Saccharomyces cerevisiae S288C: one gene and its partners. The gene in region 3 interacts genetically with the main gene of each other region. Each region holds a gene or a part of one and is shown on either strand. Other genes may lie near its edges. The genes, in order: PRI2, ABD1, RRD1 and SAP155.

Region 1 (4,620 bases), on a different chromosome or scaffold from region 3:
ACCTAGACCATACATACCATCCCAAGTCCCATTGAACCAATTCAATCCACAGGTATGACCATCAGTACCTCCAGAACATGATTTCGCGGCCGCAATGGCAGATGTATTCAACCAAGACATAATTTGGTTCCTAGTTTCTGGCACTAGTTGTGCAGTGACACCTAAGAAACGGGCAAAATAGGCTTTGAAGGAACGTTGATCTGTATTACAAGAATTTGGACCTTGACAAGCAGCTTCATACACAATACCATCATGGAAAAACACTTGGGAAGCGTTCAAAAACTCTTTGGTTCTTGTGTGCCAGAGGTCTGATCCCGTAAAGTTGTAAAGGTAGGCAGAGCCAGCCAACAGCAAACCTTGATTATATGTCCATTGATATGAGGTCACTTTGGTGCAATTATCATCAATGCTGACACCATCGTAAACATACTTATAGGTACCATTAGAAATTAAGTTCACACCGACCATCCACTCGTAAACTTTTTCGGCCCAGTCAACATATGTTTGATTACCTGTATATCTTGCTAATCTTGCAGCTATGTGAAACAAGGCACCGTTAGAAACGGTGTTCTTGTAATCGTAACCAGAGTTCCAAACGAAAATTTGCCACCTCAAACCACCACCACAGGAATCGGCATCCCAACGCAAAGCCATGGTATTGAAAACAGCCTGTGCTAAATATAGCCATTGAGGCTCATTCTCGGGAGGATTAGTAAAGTTTCTCTCCGCGGCAGTCATAGCAGCAATACCCCAAAAGGCTTGGTCATCATTACCTTCAGTGGTAGATTGATTTAGCGGAATATAGTCATTATCATCACCAGCTTGATGTATCATTGCTGCTATAATTTCATCATTATAGGTGTCGTTATCCATGAAAAACCAGTAATCTAGCATACAGCCCCAGGCACCACCGGCTTCCCACCAATAGTACGGATCTGAAAACATACCGACCGTCTTACCATACTGATTACCAGTGTAATAATCCATTAAACCGTAGGCAATTAGTGAAGTAGCATTTTGCAAAGATTCGTAGTTGTCTAGATCCAATTCGACGGCATTTGTAAATCTTGTTGCGAAGAGTACACCCAGTAACCCTATCACTTTATTTACTAGCATTTTTATGTGTTCGTTTTTAAAACAGACTGAAAAGAAAGAAAGCTCAGAAAAAAAGTGGTGTGTATTTTGTTGTATCCACTATTATATGTCCTGGAAAGGTTTCCCTAGCGTTTTGACCCTTTCGTATCTTGTAATTTAAGCCTCTTTTTACCAAAAATCCTCCCGTTCGCACACCTATTAAGCTGCTTATAAAATATGAGTATCAACACAGTAACAGTGAATATATAATAGATGAGCCCATTATACAAAGAGTACCTATGATCATCATGAAATCCGAGCTTTATTTCCATCTGCCAGTTTTCTTTCTGGATGTACGAAATTAAATCGCGCCTCGAACGGGTGCAAAACCGGGTGACGGGACACCGCTACGAATATAGTACGATACACTTATACATATATGGAAGCATTTATAGCGTATATTCATCGTACGGTACATTCTTTAAATAAATGATTGAATTTTTCTGAACCAACAGTTATAAGCTGAGATCCAGTGCGTTCATGAAACGGAACATCTTACATCATCAAGAGCCCAGAAGCACGGCGTAGGATTGTTTCCGCTGCTACAGACAGACATGGAAACACTGTTTTTATCAGGCCAAAGGTGATACGACAGGTCTCTTCTTGTTTCAATATTGCCTTACATATCTGCTGCTCACTCTATTTGCTTTTTCCTGCTCATTTATAGTTAACTTGATTTGAAATTACGCGTCGCGGGGAATCGCGTAAAACTCGATATTAAATCCTGTGATTTTGCAAAAGTAAATTTTTTACTATCTACATCTCTCCAATTTGCACAACTTTGACAGGACTGATAACTACCCAGGTGGAGCAACCAGTGACAGCAGGTAAAGCACAATAAGGAGAAGAAATGTTCAGGCAGTCAAAAAGAAGAATTGCCTCAAGGAAGAATTTTAGTTCATACGATGATATTGTCAAAAGCGAATTGGACGTAGGCAACACAAATGCAGCTAACCAGATCATCTTAAGTTCAAGTTCATCTGAAGAAGAGAAAAAACTTTACGCTAGGCTGTATGAGTCTAAATTATCATTTTACGATTTACCACCACAGGGAGAAATAACGTTGGAACAATTTGAGATCTGGGCAATCGATCGTCTCAAAATTCTGTTAGAGATCGAATCTTGCCTTTCAAGAAACAAATCGATCAAAGAAATTGAAACCATTATCAAGCCGCAGTTCCAAAAACTACTGCCTTTCAACACAGAGAGTTTAGAAGACAGAAAAAAGGATTACTACTCTCATTTCATTTTAAGATTGTGCTTTTGTCGTTCAAAAGAACTGCGGGAAAAATTCGTCAGGGCTGAAACGTTTTTGTTCAAAATTAGATTTAACATGCTAACCTCCACCGATCAAACAAAATTTGTTCAATCATTGGACTTACCCTTACTACAGTTTATCTCAAATGAAGAAAAGGCCGAATTATCTCATCAGTTGTATCAAACAGTTTCTGCGTCTCTACAGTTCCAATTGAATTTAAACGAGGAACATCAAAGAAAACAGTATTTCCAACAGGAAAAATTCATAAAATTACCTTTCGAAAATGTGATAGAACTGGTAGGAAACCGTTTAGTGTTTTTGAAGGACGGGTACGCATATTTACCACAATTCCAGCAATTGAATTTACTTTCTAATGAGTTTGCTAGCAAATTGAACCAGGAGTTAATAAAAACGTACCAGTACTTACCAAGACTGAATGAGGATGACCGGTTGTTACCAATTCTAAATCATCTTTCGTCGGGGTACACTATCGCGGATTTCAACCAGCAAAAGGCAAACCAATTCAGTGAGAACGTAGATGATGAGATTAATGCGCAAAGTGTCTGGTCTGAAGAGATTAGCTCAAACTATCCGCTATGTATCAAAAACCTGATGGAGGGTCTTAAAAAGAACCATCATTTGAGGTATTATGGGAGACAACAACTGAGTCTGTTTTTGAAAGGTATCGGCCTGAGCGCTGATGAAGCGTTAAAATTTTGGTCTGAGGCATTTACAAGAAATGGGAACATGACAATGGAGAAGTTCAATAAAGAATACCGTTACAGCTTCAGGCATAATTACGGTCTTGAAGGTAACAGAATCAACTACAAACCATGGGACTGTCACACTATCCTTTCCAAGCCCAGACCTGGGCGCGGAGATTATCATGGATGCCCTTTCCGTGATTGGAGTCACGAGAGACTATCTGCAGAATTGCGCTCTATGAAGTTGACCCAAGCGCAGATCATCAGTGTTCTGGATTCCTGCCAGAAAGGTGAATACACAATTGCTTGCACTAAAGTGTTTGAAATGACACACAACTCTGCATCAGCGGATTTGGAAATTGGCGAGCAAACGCATATCGCGCATCCTAACCTATACTTCGAAAGATCAAGGCAACTGCAAAAGAAACAGCAGAAGCTGGAAAAGGAAAAACTATTCAATAATGGTAATCATTAGTGCAGAAAGGGAAAAGGAAAAAAGCGAAGAGATAACTAAAAAGGATTAATAGTATACGTAATTTAGTCTACTGTAAGTATGGTCAAAAATTTTCTTTAGTGAGAAAAAAAAAAAAAAAGAGAAACGATAAACGCTGTACAATACCAGTGACTGCACTGCTCCGAAAACGTCCGAGATATGTATATTGTCCGAATTTTTTCATACTTTAATAGCTGGCCAGAGAAACCTTATAATTTTGTGGCTGCAAGCTATCGCGCTGTTCCTCTGTGACAGGCAACACAGAACAACTAACCGCCTGTCTTTTATGCCTGTACACTTCATTAAAATTTACCGTTTTCTTCCATTACAAGCGGGGACACTTTCCGTTTAAACCTGCAATATGTTGCAGGGCCTATCCACGCCAATTTACTGTGGCAGAAGTTACTGCAGTGGAAGAACTACCTTTTCCAGCATAGCCTCCGCCACCAAAAAATGCAGGTGCTGCGTTTTCTGGATACGTGGCTGGCCTTTAAAACGCATGGGAGGGACAGTATCTCACCGATTTGGTAATGCCGTGATGCAACCTCGAGGATCCGGTTTTCAAGAGCGGAAGTAAAAAACCGGGAAGATCTAATATTTCCTTATGCAGGTATTCTGTGACTAAAAAGTATAGAAGACTATTTTGCACCGCTCCCTGATTAGACTTCGTGCGATATTATTGATGGATATCGTCTTTATCTTTCCGTGGACCTAAAACGGCACCCCTTCGTCTAGGATAAACGCGGTCGGCTCTTTCGAAGACTAAAAAAGCAGCCACAATAACGTTACATGCAAAATCAGCCCACTCGAAGTTAGATACTGCGTAGACGGATTTGCACGATGCGATGATAAATATTAGGGACAGTGCGTGCCCACCCATAAGTTGCTGTAGAGCTTACAAATTGTAAAGACTAATTCCAATCGCACGCCCACCCCTCACGGGAATAAGTTAGAATGTTGCGGAATGAACGATAACTTCATATTAGGTAAAAGGGAAGAATGCAACGCTGCGGTCTACGGGCTTTTTTCTG
Region 2 (4,301 bases), on a different chromosome or scaffold from region 3:
CTATTGAACCTCAAACGATAGCAAAGCAATTTACACAATCAAGAAAATATACGTCTGGGGTTCAGAAATTGGGTGTCTCATTTACAATGAATACGAGAATGCCAACTAACCGCATTGATACCCCATGCGAGAGTGAGGACTCCGATTTGGATACAGATCTTACGTCAATTCGTGATGCCTTCTCGGCATCGACTAATATTTCAGTAGGTAAGGACTTAACGACCAAATCGAAGACCGGTTCCGACAGAACAAATTTACTCGTAAAGAATTTACAAAGCGATGTGTCAACACAGTCGTTAAGACCCGTTTTCTCGAGTAATACTTTGCCGAGGACGAGAGTCGTGGAAGATGGCACGGGTGAACAGCCGACACTGATCCCAATTGCCGAACCTGACCTTTCGAATGGGAACGGTACTGGGAGCGGTATTGGCAACGGCAACAAATTAAAGAAACCGGTTCTTCCCGAATTATCACCTTGTTGTTCAAAAGATAGTTTAGTCACAGCGATGCAAAATTTAGGTTTCAATGATCTTCCCAGCACTGCTCAACATTTGGTTCTGAATGATGTGATGACACAAATGTCAAAGAGTTCGGATTTAATTTTTTCAACCTTGCCAGTTCCAGCTCTTGGAACACATGAAGATCACGATGCAAGTTTACAATATGTCGAGGACTTGGATATTTGGTTGGAGGGCTTACCTCCATGCATGTTAATCAATTCGCAAACCATGACAGTAACTACTGCATTATAGAATAACACATATATCGTTATGCATTTCCCCAGAACTTATTTACTACATATAGAAGTCTTGTAATACGGCCGAAATACAGATGCTTTATAGTAGGGTTATTGTTTCTATTCATTTTTATTTCAGTTGGGCTTTACGCTTTCCGGTTCGATATACTGTTTTACCTTACGGAATGCAAACATGGTATAGAAATATGATGCCGCTTCCTTTTCATCCCCTTCAACACCATATCTACCATCAGATCTTTGTAAACCTTCCCTCATTTTAGGCGAAAACCTCTCAATCCATTTGGGAATTTCTTGGACAAAAAATTTATTAAAAGGCATTTGCGATACTAGTTCCAAACCGTATTCATCAGCCAAACTTCTTAAGGTTTCGAATGGCACAACATATTCAGGAACATTATCTATAGCATCTTCTAGCCAATAAGTATACATTTGACCATAAGGCGATGTGAACTCATAATCATTCTTTTGGTATGAATTATTCTCAAATGTCACTTTATAAATGGAGTTTCCCCAAGATGGCTTTTCCACTTCTTTGGGAAATTTATTCAGTTTATAACGAATGAATTCTGAATCTGGTATCGTGCCAAAAAAGTGACCACCAATTTTGAGTGATTTGGCGACATTCAGTAAAGCTCTCCTTGCTTTTTCTTCGGTCTCAAAAGCATAATGCAAGCAAAATTGCGTCGAAACGATATCACACGGAAATCTACAGTCTGGGAAGGGCTCTACTGCAACACCTAATGATTCGCCAAAGCAATCCCCAGTAATTAGCACAACTTGGTAGTCCAAATTTCTCATGGACCGGTATCTCTTATGAGCTTCTTGGATAGAGGCATTGGAAATGTCAATACCAATAAACTGTGAAATACCTGCAGCACCATATTTTCTTAAATCACCACCTTTGCCACATCCGAGTTCTAAAACGACATCTCCAGGTTTTGTATATTTGTCAATTAACATATACTTAATCGCATTGTTAAAATTACGAAGCTTAATAATAGGCGATAGATTCCTCTTAGCGCGATTGGCGATTATTGTACGTTCATTATAGTGCTCTCGGACAATCTGGTCAACATTTATGGATCTATTTGCAGTCATCTCTATTTCATGTCTCTTTAGTTGCTCTTCTCTCAATTTTTGAGCACGCTGTTTGCGTAATCTTTCCTCTTGATCATACCTTTCATGTCTTCTCTTTTGGATTTTAAACCCGGATTCTGCCTCAATGGGTAGATCAGACACCTTAGAAGTAAGGATAGAGCTGCTTTGCAAAACTGGTAATGATCCATTACCATCACCAGGCGCATTGGCAGTAACTTTGGAGTCTTTTTTTGAGACTGTGGACGATTCATCACCAGTAATTGAGCCGTACTGACGGTCATAGTCTTCTTGTGACATCCATATTGGCTTCTCTGGTTTGGTTGACATTCTACTTTTCTAAGACGGATAATGGACGACTCCACGTTGTAGTAGTTGTCACATTAATCGGAAAAGTGTCTCACATGTAAAGGATTAAAATAAGAAATCTTCTAATTTATGTTGAAATATCTTGATTTACCATTACCCGGATTAGATGAAACTAATTAAAGTCATTTAGAGCAATGGACCAAACTAAAGGTATTAGAGTTCTTTCTAATATAATACAGCGCCAAATAATTCGAGAAGGGAAATCATAACGCTGTTGCCTTGGGTTTATTTGAGGTATGGAAACTATTGATTCGAAGCAAAATATTAATAGGGAGTCTTTATTGGAGGAAAGGAGGAAAAAACTAGCAAAATGGAAACAAAAAAAAGCACAATTTGATGCTCAGAAAGAGCATCAAACTTCACGCAATGACATTGTTACTAACAGTTTAGAAGGTAAGCAGACTACTGAAAAGTTTACGGAAAGACAGGAACGTGTAAAAGAAGAGCTTCGGAAGAGAAAAAATGAATTTAGGAAATCTGACGAACCTGTATCGGTTAAGCCTTCGAAGAAAAAGTCGAAGAGAAGTAAGGTAAAGAAGAAAATATCCTTCGACTTCAGTGATGACGATGATTCTGAAATAGGAGTTTCTTTTAGATCGAAGGAGCACATTCAAAAAGCTCCAGAGCATGATAATGAAAAAGATCCACTGGATGAGTTTATGACGTCATTGAAGGAGGAGAAAATGAGTAATAGTAAAGGCATGTACGACAGAGGCGACATTCTTGATGTAGAGGATCAATTGTTTGAACTTGGAGGAACCGACGATGAGGATGTTGAAGATAATACGGATAATTCTAATATAGCGAAAATTGCTAAACTCAAAGCAAAAAAACGTGTAAAGCAAATTTATTACTCTCCAGAAGAGCTTGAGCCGTTCCAAAAAAATTTTTATATAGAATCTGAAACAGTTTCCTCGATGTCAGAGATGGAAGTTGAGGAGCTTAGACTTAGTCTGGATAATATCAAAATAAAGGGAACAGGTTGCCCCAAACCAGTCACAAAGTGGTCTCAACTGGGACTATCAACGGACACCATGGTTTTAATTACAGAAAAGTTGCACTTTGGCTCCTTAACGCCTATTCAATCCCAGGCTCTTCCCGCTATTATGTCAGGTCGTGATGTTATAGGAATATCAAAAACTGGCTCCGGCAAGACCATCTCCTATCTTTTACCATTGCTAAGACAAGTAAAAGCTCAACGGCCATTATCAAAACATGAAACAGGGCCCATGGGTTTAATTCTGGCTCCAACTAGAGAGCTAGCTTTACAAATACATGAAGAAGTTACTAAATTCACAGAAGCAGATACATCCATTAGATCAGTATGCTGTACAGGAGGTTCTGAAATGAAAAAGCAGATTACTGATCTTAAAAGAGGCACTGAGATTGTTGTTGCCACACCGGGACGATTTATTGATATATTAACACTAAATGATGGGAAATTACTTAGTACTAAAAGAATAACGTTCGTAGTAATGGATGAGGCAGACAGGCTGTTCGATTTAGGTTTTGAACCTCAAATAACGCAAATCATGAAAACTGTTCGACCGGATAAACAGTGTGTTCTATTTAGTGCAACTTTTCCGAACAAACTACGCAGTTTTGCCGTAAGAGTTTTGCATTCCCCAATATCTATTACGATTAATTCAAAGGGAATGGTTAATGAAAACGTAAAACAAAAGTTTAGAATATGCCATTCAGAAGATGAAAAATTTGACAATCTGGTGCAGCTTATCCATGAGCGCAGTGAATTTTTTGACGAGGTTCAAAGTGAAAATGACGGACAGTCAAGCGATGTTGAAGAAGTTGATGCTAAAGCCATTATATTTGTATCAAGTCAGAATATTTGCGACTTCATTTCAAAAAAGCTGTTAAATGCTGGAATTGTGACCTGTGCTATTCATGCAGGTAAGCCATATCAAGAAAGGCTTATGAACTTAGAAAAGTTCAAACGAGAAAAGAACAGTATTCTTCTCTGTACAGAGGTTCTCTCAAGAGGTTTAAATGTTCCCGAAGTGTCGTTGGTTATTATCTATAACGCCGTCAAAACTTTCGCGCAATATGTTCATACTACTGGAAG
Region 3 (4,062 bases):
TGCTGGTAACGGATGATGATAATATGAACCAAAAAGCGAAGGACAGAATGATAAAAACGTGCAATACAAAGTATTTATTTTCGTTAGGTAGCAAGCTTGGTATTAATAGTGGATTATGTACCAACTAATATGTATATATACATATATATGATCACATATATATTTCTGTGCATTTTTTTTTTTTTTTTGAACACTCCATTCTACAATTACTTTTCATATAAATTTCCAATGCAGGTACCATTTTATATTGTTACACAAGGTTAGAAAAGATCTTGAATCGATCACTAACGAGGCACTAGGGTCATTAACCTTGTTCTGTAGCCATTCTGCGTTAATTTTTGGCGCTCTGCTATGCAATATTATTGTTTGGTCCTTCGGAAGTTTGATGAGTAACTCGTTTGAGGACAGTATGGTTGCTTGAGAGAAATCGCGAATAATTGTGTCAAACTTTGGTTTATGCGTCTGGATTATGGCATCCAGGTCCTTCACGGAGCTATGCAGTTGAGAAACAAGTTTAGAGTCAGTGTTGTAGAATGTTTGCGGCTGCTTTTCCTGTTTCTTTAGAGAACTATTACTTGCGGAGCTCGTCCACTGCGACTCCTGAACCAACTGTCGCAGGGGAGGCGTAGAGTTTTGTGATCGGATATTCTGGCGCTGCTGCTGCTGCTGCTGCTGCTTATGATGTTCTTGTTTCAGAACTAGCAATGAAATGGGCATATGATTACCGTCATGTTGCACGTTCGGTTGCACACTTGATTTCGATAGTATTTCTGAGAAACTGTTGGTGCTTTGTTGTTTTAAAGGGTGATGAGGTCGCCTGGTTGGAGACCAGGATATAGAGCTTAGGGACTGCCCCGGGGGGTGTTGTTGTTGCTGCTTCTGATCCTGATATATTACCAGGCCCCTTCTCTTGTGACTCATTTGCTTACACTGTGGCGACTTTTTCCACTTCTTTGTTTATTTGTATTACCGCTTCCTTTTCCTTTTTTCATCTGATTATATGCTTATATATTGTAGACGCAAGTAAAAAAGAACGAAAATAGAAGTCATAATGCTTGTCATACACATTTATATGTTTAATTAATATTATCTACGTAGTCTATCTCTTGAAAAAGAAGTCTGGTTCCGGTGCGACTGGTTTTGATGGCTTAGTAAATAGTTGATATTGTTACCTGACGGCGGAACGCCTGGGGGAGGCATTGACGTGGACGTTGGGAATCGTGTTGAAGTCTGTTCTCGACCGGGCGATCCTGCGTTAGCCTGTTCTATACTCTCTTCCTCCTTTTCTTCAAAGACTGGAAGATCAGTGCCGTTTTGAATGTTGACCCAGGGAAAGAAGCCTGTGCCGAACCAGAAATGTTGCACCACGGGGAACTTCTTCAGAACCTCTACAGAATACATTTTTAGAAGCCCCTTACACACTTTGGACCAGCGTGGAACGGTGACGGCAATATCGTATAGGATGGGGGAATGCTCTTCAAAGGGCCCCATTTTCACCTCATTAATAAAGTTTATGCCTTGGCAGTAGAAGTTGGTGTCCTTATACTCGCGCACCAGAGACTTATCCAGTATTTCTCTTGGTTGCAAGGGTGCTTGCGCATCAAGCAGCTGCCATTGAGACGAGCCCAAGATGTACACCAAGTGGAAATGGTCATCAAGCCCCCACACGCCATGTGACCCAGCGGGCTCCAGCGTATACGTCAGGATCAGCCTCCTCATGATCGTGTAGTACTTGTTGAACAGCAGAAAAACGTCTGCCCCCCTCATGTGCGGAAACATCCCCAGCATGTCCAGTGCTGCGACCGTGGCCATGAACGAAAGTTCGTGGCCCGTGCCGTAGTCCAATCTTGTCGACGAACCAAAGCTGTTGCCCAGGTAATACTGCAATTCAGGCACCACCTCATGGTATTCCGAGGGAAGCATTTCCTGCAGCCACTGAGGCAAACGTTCATCCAGCTTGTGATGCCACTCGCGGCATGCTAGGTTACCATACCTTCTAGGACCTGGAAGAGGCGGTGTCTCGTCGATCAGGTGTGCCAGCTTGTCCAACACTCCCATCAGCCCGTTAACCATGGCGATCGACGACGCAGTAGCGTGCGGGTCGGGGTCAGAACAGTGCGATATCAACGTAGTGTACTTGTGAAGATGATACTTGATTCTGTGAATGGCTAGTGACGATTGGAAGTCCAGCGTTGTCTGCGTATCGAAGATACGCTTCACCGGCGTAGAGAAGGTGGCGTGCGGCCAATCTACACGATCCAGAGACATTTCTTTGCTCGTTTAATGCTTGTTCATATGTGCGTTCTTTTGCACTTTGCACTTTCTTCCTATTTTATCTTTTTAAGAAAGCTTTAAAGGTCCGGAAAAAAGGCTTGATCAAACACAAGAGACTATGGAAAGGGTGAGTACCAAAAGAACCAACAAGAGAAACAACCAAGTACGCAATGCAGAAGAGCATATTGCTGACTAAACCTGACGGAACACAATCGAATCTACACAGCATCAAAACGGAAACGCCCACCACGGTGGAGTTCGACTCGGAGCAGATGGAAAGGGGCCACAGGGAAAGAGGTCGTAGCAAGAAGAAAAGAGGCGAACGAGACTCAAACGTGAGCAGTCTGTCGCGGTCGAGAAGCAGGGCCAGTAGCCGCAGCAGAGTAAGGGAGGAAGAGTTCCTCAAGTGGACCGTGTTGAGGCAGGACCCCTCGATGCGGTTGAGGGTCGTGGATGTGGATTCTGAAGAGGAAGGTGAGGGCAACGACGAAGATGACGACGACGGCGACGGCGACGATATGGACGAGGAAGAGTCCGATGAAGAGCAAGTGAGCGATATAGAGAACGATTTAGAGATTGACGAGGAGTTCCACTACGATCTGGGCATGAAAGTGTTACCCAACTTTTGTACCAGCATAAACGAAGTGCTAGACTCCAGCAAGCCCTGGATAGCCAAGTACGAGATCAGCATCCGTGGCCACGAAAACGAAGACGTGTCTCTGGAGCAACTCGACGGAGGCTACGTCAGAGCCATGCAACTACTCACCAAGGGTGCCGGCGCAGAGGCCGGGAACCAAAGGTCCTTCATCCTCTACACGGACCTGAGCAGCGAGTCCACCTACGCCCTGACCTATCTCATGGGCGCAGCTGTCAACCAGGGAGACACCGTCTACATTGTCCACTGGGAGCCCTCGAAGCCCACGGACGACTCCCAGATGTTCGCCAACGTTGCCAGAATCAGAAAGCACGTCATGCACCTGTTTGACTGCGTCGCGGGCGTGCTCGACGACCTCGACGTCGTCGTCCTCTCCTTGACCCATCCGTACCCAAAACACCTCCTCAACGAGATGATCCACGGCCTCAAGCCAGTCGCCCTGTGCTGCTCCCTCTCGGTCATCCTGTCCACTCTGCAGAACTTCGTCTGCTCTGTGCCCATCCTCGCGGTTAGAAAGAAGCTGAAACGTGCCAAGCGCAAGGGCATCAGCGAGTGACCAATAATCACTGCACTAATTCCTTTTTAGCAACACATACTTATATACAGCAACAGACCTTATGTCTTTTCTCTGCTCCGATACGTTATCCACCCAACTTTATTTCAGTTTTGGCAGGGGAAATTTCACAACCCCGCACGCTAAAAATCGTATTTAAACTTAAAAGAGAACAGCCACAAATAGGGAACTTTGGTCTAAAGCAAGGACTCTCCCTCCCTTATCTTGACCGTGCTATTGCCATCACTGCTACAAGACTAAATACGTACTAATATATGTTTTCGGTAACGAGAAGAAGAGCTGCCGGTGCAGCTGCTGCCATGGCCACAGCCACGGGGACGCTGTACTGGATGACTAGCCAAGGTGATAGGCCGTTAGTGCACAATGACCCGAGCTACATGGTGCAATTCCCCACCGCCGCTCCACCGCAGGTCTCTAGACGAGACCTGCTGGACCGTCTGGCCAAGACGCATCAATTCGACGTGTTGATCATCGGTGGCGGGGCCACGGGGACAGGATGTGCCCTAGATGCTGCGACCAGGGGACTCAATGTGGCCCTTGTTGAAAAGGGGGATTTTGC
Region 4 (5,926 bases), on a different chromosome or scaffold from region 3:
AAATATGGCCCAGATATGAACTTCTACAAGTTCTTGAAGTTACCTAAACTGCAGAATTCTAGTACAAAGGAGATTACAAAAAACTTAAGAAAGCTATCCAAGAAGTACCATCCGGATAAGAACCCTAAATACCGTAAATTGTATGAAAGGTTAAACCTCGCTACTCAAATTCTTTCAAACAGCTCTAATCGTAAGATTTATGATTATTATCTACAGAATGGCTTTCCAAACTATGATTTCCATAAGGGTGGTTTTTATTTTTCCAGAATGAAGCCTAAGACTTGGTTCCTGCTGGCCTTTATTTGGATAGTCGTTAATATTGGGCAGTATATCATTTCTATTATTCAATATCGTTCTCAAAGATCAAGAATTGAAAACTTCATCAGTCAGTGTAAACAACAGGATGATACCAATGGACTAGGCGTAAAACAACTAACGTTTAAACAACATGAAAAGGATGAGGGTAAAAGTTTGGTTGTAAGGTTTAGCGATGTCTATGTTGTAGAGCCTGATGGAAGTGAAACACTAATTTCGCCAGATACCTTGGATAAACCTTCAGTAAAGAACTGTTTGTTTTGGAGAATACCTGCTTCGGTTTGGAACATGACGTTTGGCAAATCTGTTGGTAGCGCAGGAAAAGAAGAAATAATAACGGATAGTAAAAAGTATGATGGTAACCAAACAAAAAAGGGGAACAAAGTAAAAAAGGGTTCTGCAAAGAAAGGCCAAAAGAAAATGGAATTGCCTAACGGTAAAGTGATCTATTCACGTAAATGATACGTAAGAAGTAATATTATCATGATGAATGAATGAATGAATAGAAAACTACATGGTACTTATACATATAAATTAATATATATATATACAAATTAAAGAAAAGTACAAAACAATGTATCATTCATGATCATAATCATTATCATTATCAGCATCTTCATTATAATTACGAGTATTATCATTGTCATTATCATTATTATCGTTATTATCGTTGTTATTACTATTATTACTATTATGGTTGGTATTGTTAATGTTACTATTACTGTTCTTGTCCTCCGGCGGCCCCAGTATGAAAACCCCATTTTCCGTGTTCTTATTATCAACGTCTTCTTGAGCCCTATTGATTAACATTTCCCTTAACTTGTTGTGTAAATCAGATTCTGTAGATAAGGACAACTGTTCTTCTAGAGACTCAACATTGATTAATTGGCCGCCACCACTTGTTCCATTACTACTCCCGGTATCTGAATCAAGGATTTCATTATTATTACTTGCATCACCATTTGGAGTTAATACAGTAGTATTGTCAGGCAGCTGCGGAATGATGTTACCATTTCCATCATCAATATAACTTCCACCGCCAAGAATTTTAGAGTACATCATTCTTGTTTCGTTTAAGACTTCTTCGGAGTAGTATTGCCATTCTTCGGTTTGTAAAATTACTTGAATATCGGGAGATATTAGTTCCACTTTGTACAATTTAGAAAATTTGACCACTTCTTCGGCAATCAAGACAATATGGCCCATATATCCCAAATTCATTTTCCTTAGCTCATAAAATTTATATGAATCCTGGTAGCCCCTTAATATGAAGTCTGTAGTTATTTTGAAATCAAAATTTGGGTCTCTAATAACGGGAGAAAATCGGGAAACATCCGTTCCTTTTTCATCTGATATGACGATATCAGTCATAAATTGATAGGAGCTCTTTAAGTTAAACAGAGACAAAACAAGGAAGGAATTATAGGAAAAATCCATTCTTCCATTGAAGATTTGCTGAATTATGTCGAATATAACATTATGCCAAAAATTGTTCCAAGGATGTGTTAAGAATAGTTCCATTATTTTGGAAACAATTCGCGTATCATATAGTTTGATTTTGAATAGGTCCCCGACCGTGGGGTCGGTCCTAAGTTTTATGTTTTGCTTCATATTGATGTATGGAATTTCGAAGCTCTCGTCTATTTCGTCGCCATAGTCACTTTCATCATCATTATCATTATTGTCGTTATCTATTTTACCGTTGTTATTTTTTAGGTCGTGATCAGTGTCACGTGTTGGAGAGTGCTTCGTTTTAAGTTGCTCCTTTTCTTCGATACTCAGATCGTTTAATGCATCTTGTAAATGATGGGATAACTGGCTCCTTACTTTATCTCTTCTTCTGGCTATTCTTTCTGCCCTTTTGGAATTCATTAATCCCATATTAGAGCAATGCAGTAACTCGGCGATTAATTCCACCACTTTGAATCTTTCAAATCCTAAAGGTTTAAATTTTTCGTGCAACTGATTTTCATGTAATGGGATGTTGGCGTCATTTTCAATATCTAGAATGATTTGGAAAAAATCGGACAAATGGTTTGAAAATTTCCGAAGTAGATAGCCTAAATATATTGGATCTCTATTTGAAGGTGGATGAGTCTTTATAGTAGTGGTTAAAAGATTAACTTGATCGTAGTCTGAATTGTTTTTCCTTATCAGCTCAATGACAATCGAAACTGTGGTATTTAATGCGGCACCTCTTTGGTTGATCATGATATCGACTAGCTTTGCAATGGATTCGGGAGATGCTAGCTGTCTCGTCAAGGAGTTTGGACCAATGGAAATATCATCCAAGGGTGCATTAGCAGAAATGGCAATCAGAGCCTTTAAGAAATCACCCACGCATGCTTGGATGTCAGCTGGGGACTCTTTGTTATTTAGAAAGCTTAAGCATTTGCTGATCAAGTTTTGATCATATACTAATTCAATTATTCCCGTGGGTGATTCAATCTTATCTGTGGATATTATTTTCAAGAAAAAATCCATCAATAGGGAAATATCAACATGCTTTAACATATCATCAACAAAGCTTCTCTCCGTTCGAATAAAATTTAAATATTGATCCTGCCTGGTTAACAACAGATTTTGGTTAATCTTTAAGAATATGGGTACCAAGGGAGAGTTTTCAGAATTGAAATTTGGCTGGTTGATGATAGACCAAATCTTGTTTAAGTATGATTGGTTTTTAACTAATGACTCGCTAATCAACCATATGTCTAAGGAAAAGATTTCAGATATTATGGTGGCCTTTGTCAAATAAGCAGATTCATCGTCCTCATTCGCATCGTCGTCGTCGTCATTGTTGTTGATATCATCGTTACCAAACGAGGAGCTTCCGCGTTTTCGTCTCTTCTTGTTATTGCTGTTATTATCGTCCTCTTTCTCCTCTTCTTGCTCCGTATCAGATTCCACATAAACGTCCTCTTGTGAGCTATCATCAAGCTGTTGCTGTTCTTGATAATCTATCAGGTTATTCAAATCCACTGTGGTGGCGGTTTTAATCTTCGAGATACATTCCATCAGTTGGTCGACCAGATATTCCATATTATTCACTTTCTTATTAGTTTTCTTATCAAAGAAAAATCCAAAGCAAATGAAGTCAAGTAGCGTCTTGTTTTGTCTCGATAATTCGTTCAGTAGCTCTGTCTCTACAAGCATTCTTTCAATAAAAGAGTTATCCAAATTCTTTGTGGTGACCATCATGGGAGCAGTAGCATTGCTGATATCCTCCTCATCTAAATCAGTTTTAGAAGTTGACCCAGAAGAAAAAGATGTAGTGGAAGATTCGCTAGAGTTCATGCTCCGTTCCTCTTCCTCTTTCTCATACCGTTCTTGCTGATCATCCTTCTCAAATCGACTCTTCTGATCTCCACGTGCCGTTTTCACTTCATCACCATGACTATACTCCTCCGGAATAGAATCTAGGGAGTCACTTGTACCTCGTTCCTGAACGTTGTTGAAAATAGCGGGAATGGCTTTACCAACGCTTGGGTTAATCCTTTCCAGTTCGTGTAGCACATGAAAATATTCATCTAGGATCTTATTAATATTAGAGTGATTAAGATTCTGTCCAAATGGCCAAAACGACATCTTTACTCTGGCTTGTTGTTTTCGTCTTTTTTTTCTTTTCTTTTGTAAAAACTGCTGCTCCAAAAATCAATAGAATGGGAACGGCAGAGACTATAGTCTAGGGAAGTAACGCTTGTGTCTTAATCGTGTTGAAATAAAATCAAAATGAAATAAAATCAAAATAATAAAAAAAGAGGAGGAAAAAAGGGGATAGTCACTCAAACCCACTATCTAGCTTTAGTCTCTCAGTCTTTTAACCGCTACTTGGAGAAAAAATACTGAATCCAATGGTCAAATAAGGCCTTTCTTCTAGTTGCTTTGGAGCGTATGATACCACGATACTGTTGGTTTTGGTTCTAATTGGCCACTTAAAATTATTTTTCTTTCTTTTTTTCTAGAGGAAGGGATAACCCTACTAAGACCTATTCTATAATTACCAGCCCTATAGTTGTCTTTCATTTTTTAGATAAATGCCCTCTTTAAAAATTAAATTAACCCTACTCATTTTGTTGTCATTTCGGCCCTTTTAAGCCACAATACAGGTATCATTTAACAGGAATTACATAATAGTACTTTAGAAGAGACTTGTATGGCATCGAGGCTTCCTTTTTGACTATTGGAAGATAGCATTTTTTTGGGTGTTGCTACTATCATATTTCTGTTACTGATTGACCTTTTCTTAACTAAGAAAAAGGTGGTTAGTTCTTTACTAAAAATCATGAAGGCCGTTTTCAAAGTAACGACTGCTTTGCTGGCTTGCGTGTTTATTGCAAGGTATCTGGTCTGTCAGCAAAATGGTCTGGGAAGCTTTGCCACAGATTTACAGCCCATTTGCCGGCATACTGAATTTTCAGTTGGCTCACTATTCGATTCTAAATTGGTTGAAGGTTCAGCGGTTTCTGACTATTTAGTTGGAAAGTACTCACAATCGATAAAACCACTGATTGAAAGATACCCCAACTCATCCTTGAAGAGAATTATGGGATATTTTTACCGCTTTTGGTACAATATTTTCTCTTTTCTAAGGCTAAATGAGCTCTGCTGTTCGCTACATTCCAAGTTGGGACCTTTATTAAATCATCTAAGGATTGCCTGGTACTATTTAAAGCCATATACAGACAATGTGAAGAATGTACTAGAGAATCCATTTAACTCCTCTACGGATTGGATGAAATACGGCTCCTTTAGCGCTGATGGCACGCTCACCAAACCCATTTTTGAGACAGACTCGGAAACAGAGGATTATGAGGATGATGAGAATGAAAATGAGGATGAGGATGAAGATGAGGATGAGGATGATGTCGGAATTGAGGATGAAAATAAAGAATACGAGTTCGATGGAGTACAGGATGGCCACGGGAACTCACAACTCGTCACTGCTGCTATTTTGCAGGATTTGTCAAAGATTATCATTGGTTCCAATAGCCATGCAGAATTGGAAACTTACGAGGCAGAATCATTAAAAATGGAATATGAAGCATGGATTAAGGCTATAGATTCGAAAATACACAGTGCGATGGCACTTTTGGATTCAGAGATACAGTCTGTGTTCGAGGCCGAGGTGCAAAATAAATCTATAGAAATCACTAGGAATCTTGATGACCTTAACACTACCGTTAATGAGCAATTAGTGTTTCTAGATTCAAAAATCAAAGATATTAATTGTACCTCTAAATTCGATCCTGTGCAAAATAAAATAAAGTATTTTGATGAATCGGGTCAAGTTGAACTGGAAGCTTACATTACCAAATCATCTATCACATCGATACTGAAGAATTATAAAATACATTTGTTAGACTTTGAAAAATCACTGTTTCATTCATTAGATTCTTTTCTTACCGAAATGGCTAAACTGGCAGAATCGATTCGTCTTGAAAACGTCGAAGTGTACGAAGAGTGGGGCGATGTAATGATAAGTCAATGGTCGCAAAGAATGGCATATATGGACGTCAGAGGTCTCCATTTGGAAGATCAATACGATCCTGCCTATATAGAAGAGAATCATTCCAACTGGCTCCGTTTCATGGAATTGAAAAAGAAAGTT

What was found.
Region 1: mutations in RRD1 (region 3) and PRI2 together harm fitness more than expected from each alone (negative genetic interaction), as found in Saccharomyces cerevisiae (2 studies listed by BioGRID).
Region 2: mutations in RRD1 (region 3) and ABD1 together harm fitness more than expected from each alone (negative genetic interaction), as found in Saccharomyces cerevisiae (2 studies listed by BioGRID).
Region 4: mutations in RRD1 (region 3) and SAP155 together harm fitness more than expected from each alone (negative genetic interaction), as found in Saccharomyces cerevisiae (2 studies listed by BioGRID).

What each region holds. Positions count from the first base shown.
Region 1 is NC_001143.9:351,509-356,128, forward strand, and holds PRI2 (DNA primase subunit PRI2), read left to right. Parts: upstream 1-1,984; coding exon 1,985-3,571; downstream 3,572-4,620. Other genes in the region: DCW1 (putative mannan endo-1,6-alpha-mannosidase), read right to left, coding at 1-1,116. UniProt on the Saccharomyces cerevisiae protein: DNA primase is the polymerase that synthesizes small RNA primers for the Okazaki fragments made during discontinuous DNA replication. In a complex with DNA polymerase alpha (DNA polymerase alpha:primase) constitutes a replicative polymerase.
Region 2 is NC_001134.8:689,512-693,812, forward strand, and holds ABD1 (mRNA (guanine-N7)-methyltransferase), read right to left. Parts: upstream 2,183-4,301; coding exon 872-2,182; downstream 1-871. Other genes in the region: VHC1 (Vhc1p), read left to right, coding at 1-752; DEAD-box RNA helicase PRP5, read left to right, coding at 2,458-4,301. UniProt on the Saccharomyces cerevisiae protein: Responsible for methylating the 5'-cap structure of mRNAs.
Region 3 is NC_001141.2:53,404-57,465, reverse strand, and holds RRD1 (peptidylprolyl isomerase RRD1), read right to left. Parts: upstream 2,269-4,062; coding exon 1,087-2,268; downstream 1-1,086. Other genes in the region: ESL1 (Esl1p), read left to right, coding at 1-128; VPR1 (Vpr1p), read right to left, coding at 214-921; IMP21 (Imp21p), read left to right, coding at 2,445-3,485; GUT2 (glycerol-3-phosphate dehydrogenase), read left to right, coding at 3,758-4,062. UniProt on the Saccharomyces cerevisiae protein: PPIases accelerate the folding of proteins. It catalyzes the cis-trans isomerization of proline imidic peptide bonds in oligopeptides.
Region 4 is NC_001138.5:232,219-238,144, reverse strand, and holds SAP155 (Sap155p), read right to left. Parts: upstream 3,904-5,926; coding exon 895-3,903; downstream 1-894. Other genes in the region: ERJ5 (Erj5p), read left to right, coding at 1-777; OSW7 (Osw7p), read left to right, coding at 4,601-5,926. UniProt on the Saccharomyces cerevisiae protein: Positive regulator of protein phosphatase SIT4. Involved in directing expression of TOR-repressed genes and in dephosphorylation of NPR1 in response to nutrient starvation. Negatively modulates K(+) efflux of the cell by the Na(+)-K(+)/H(+) antiporter NHA1.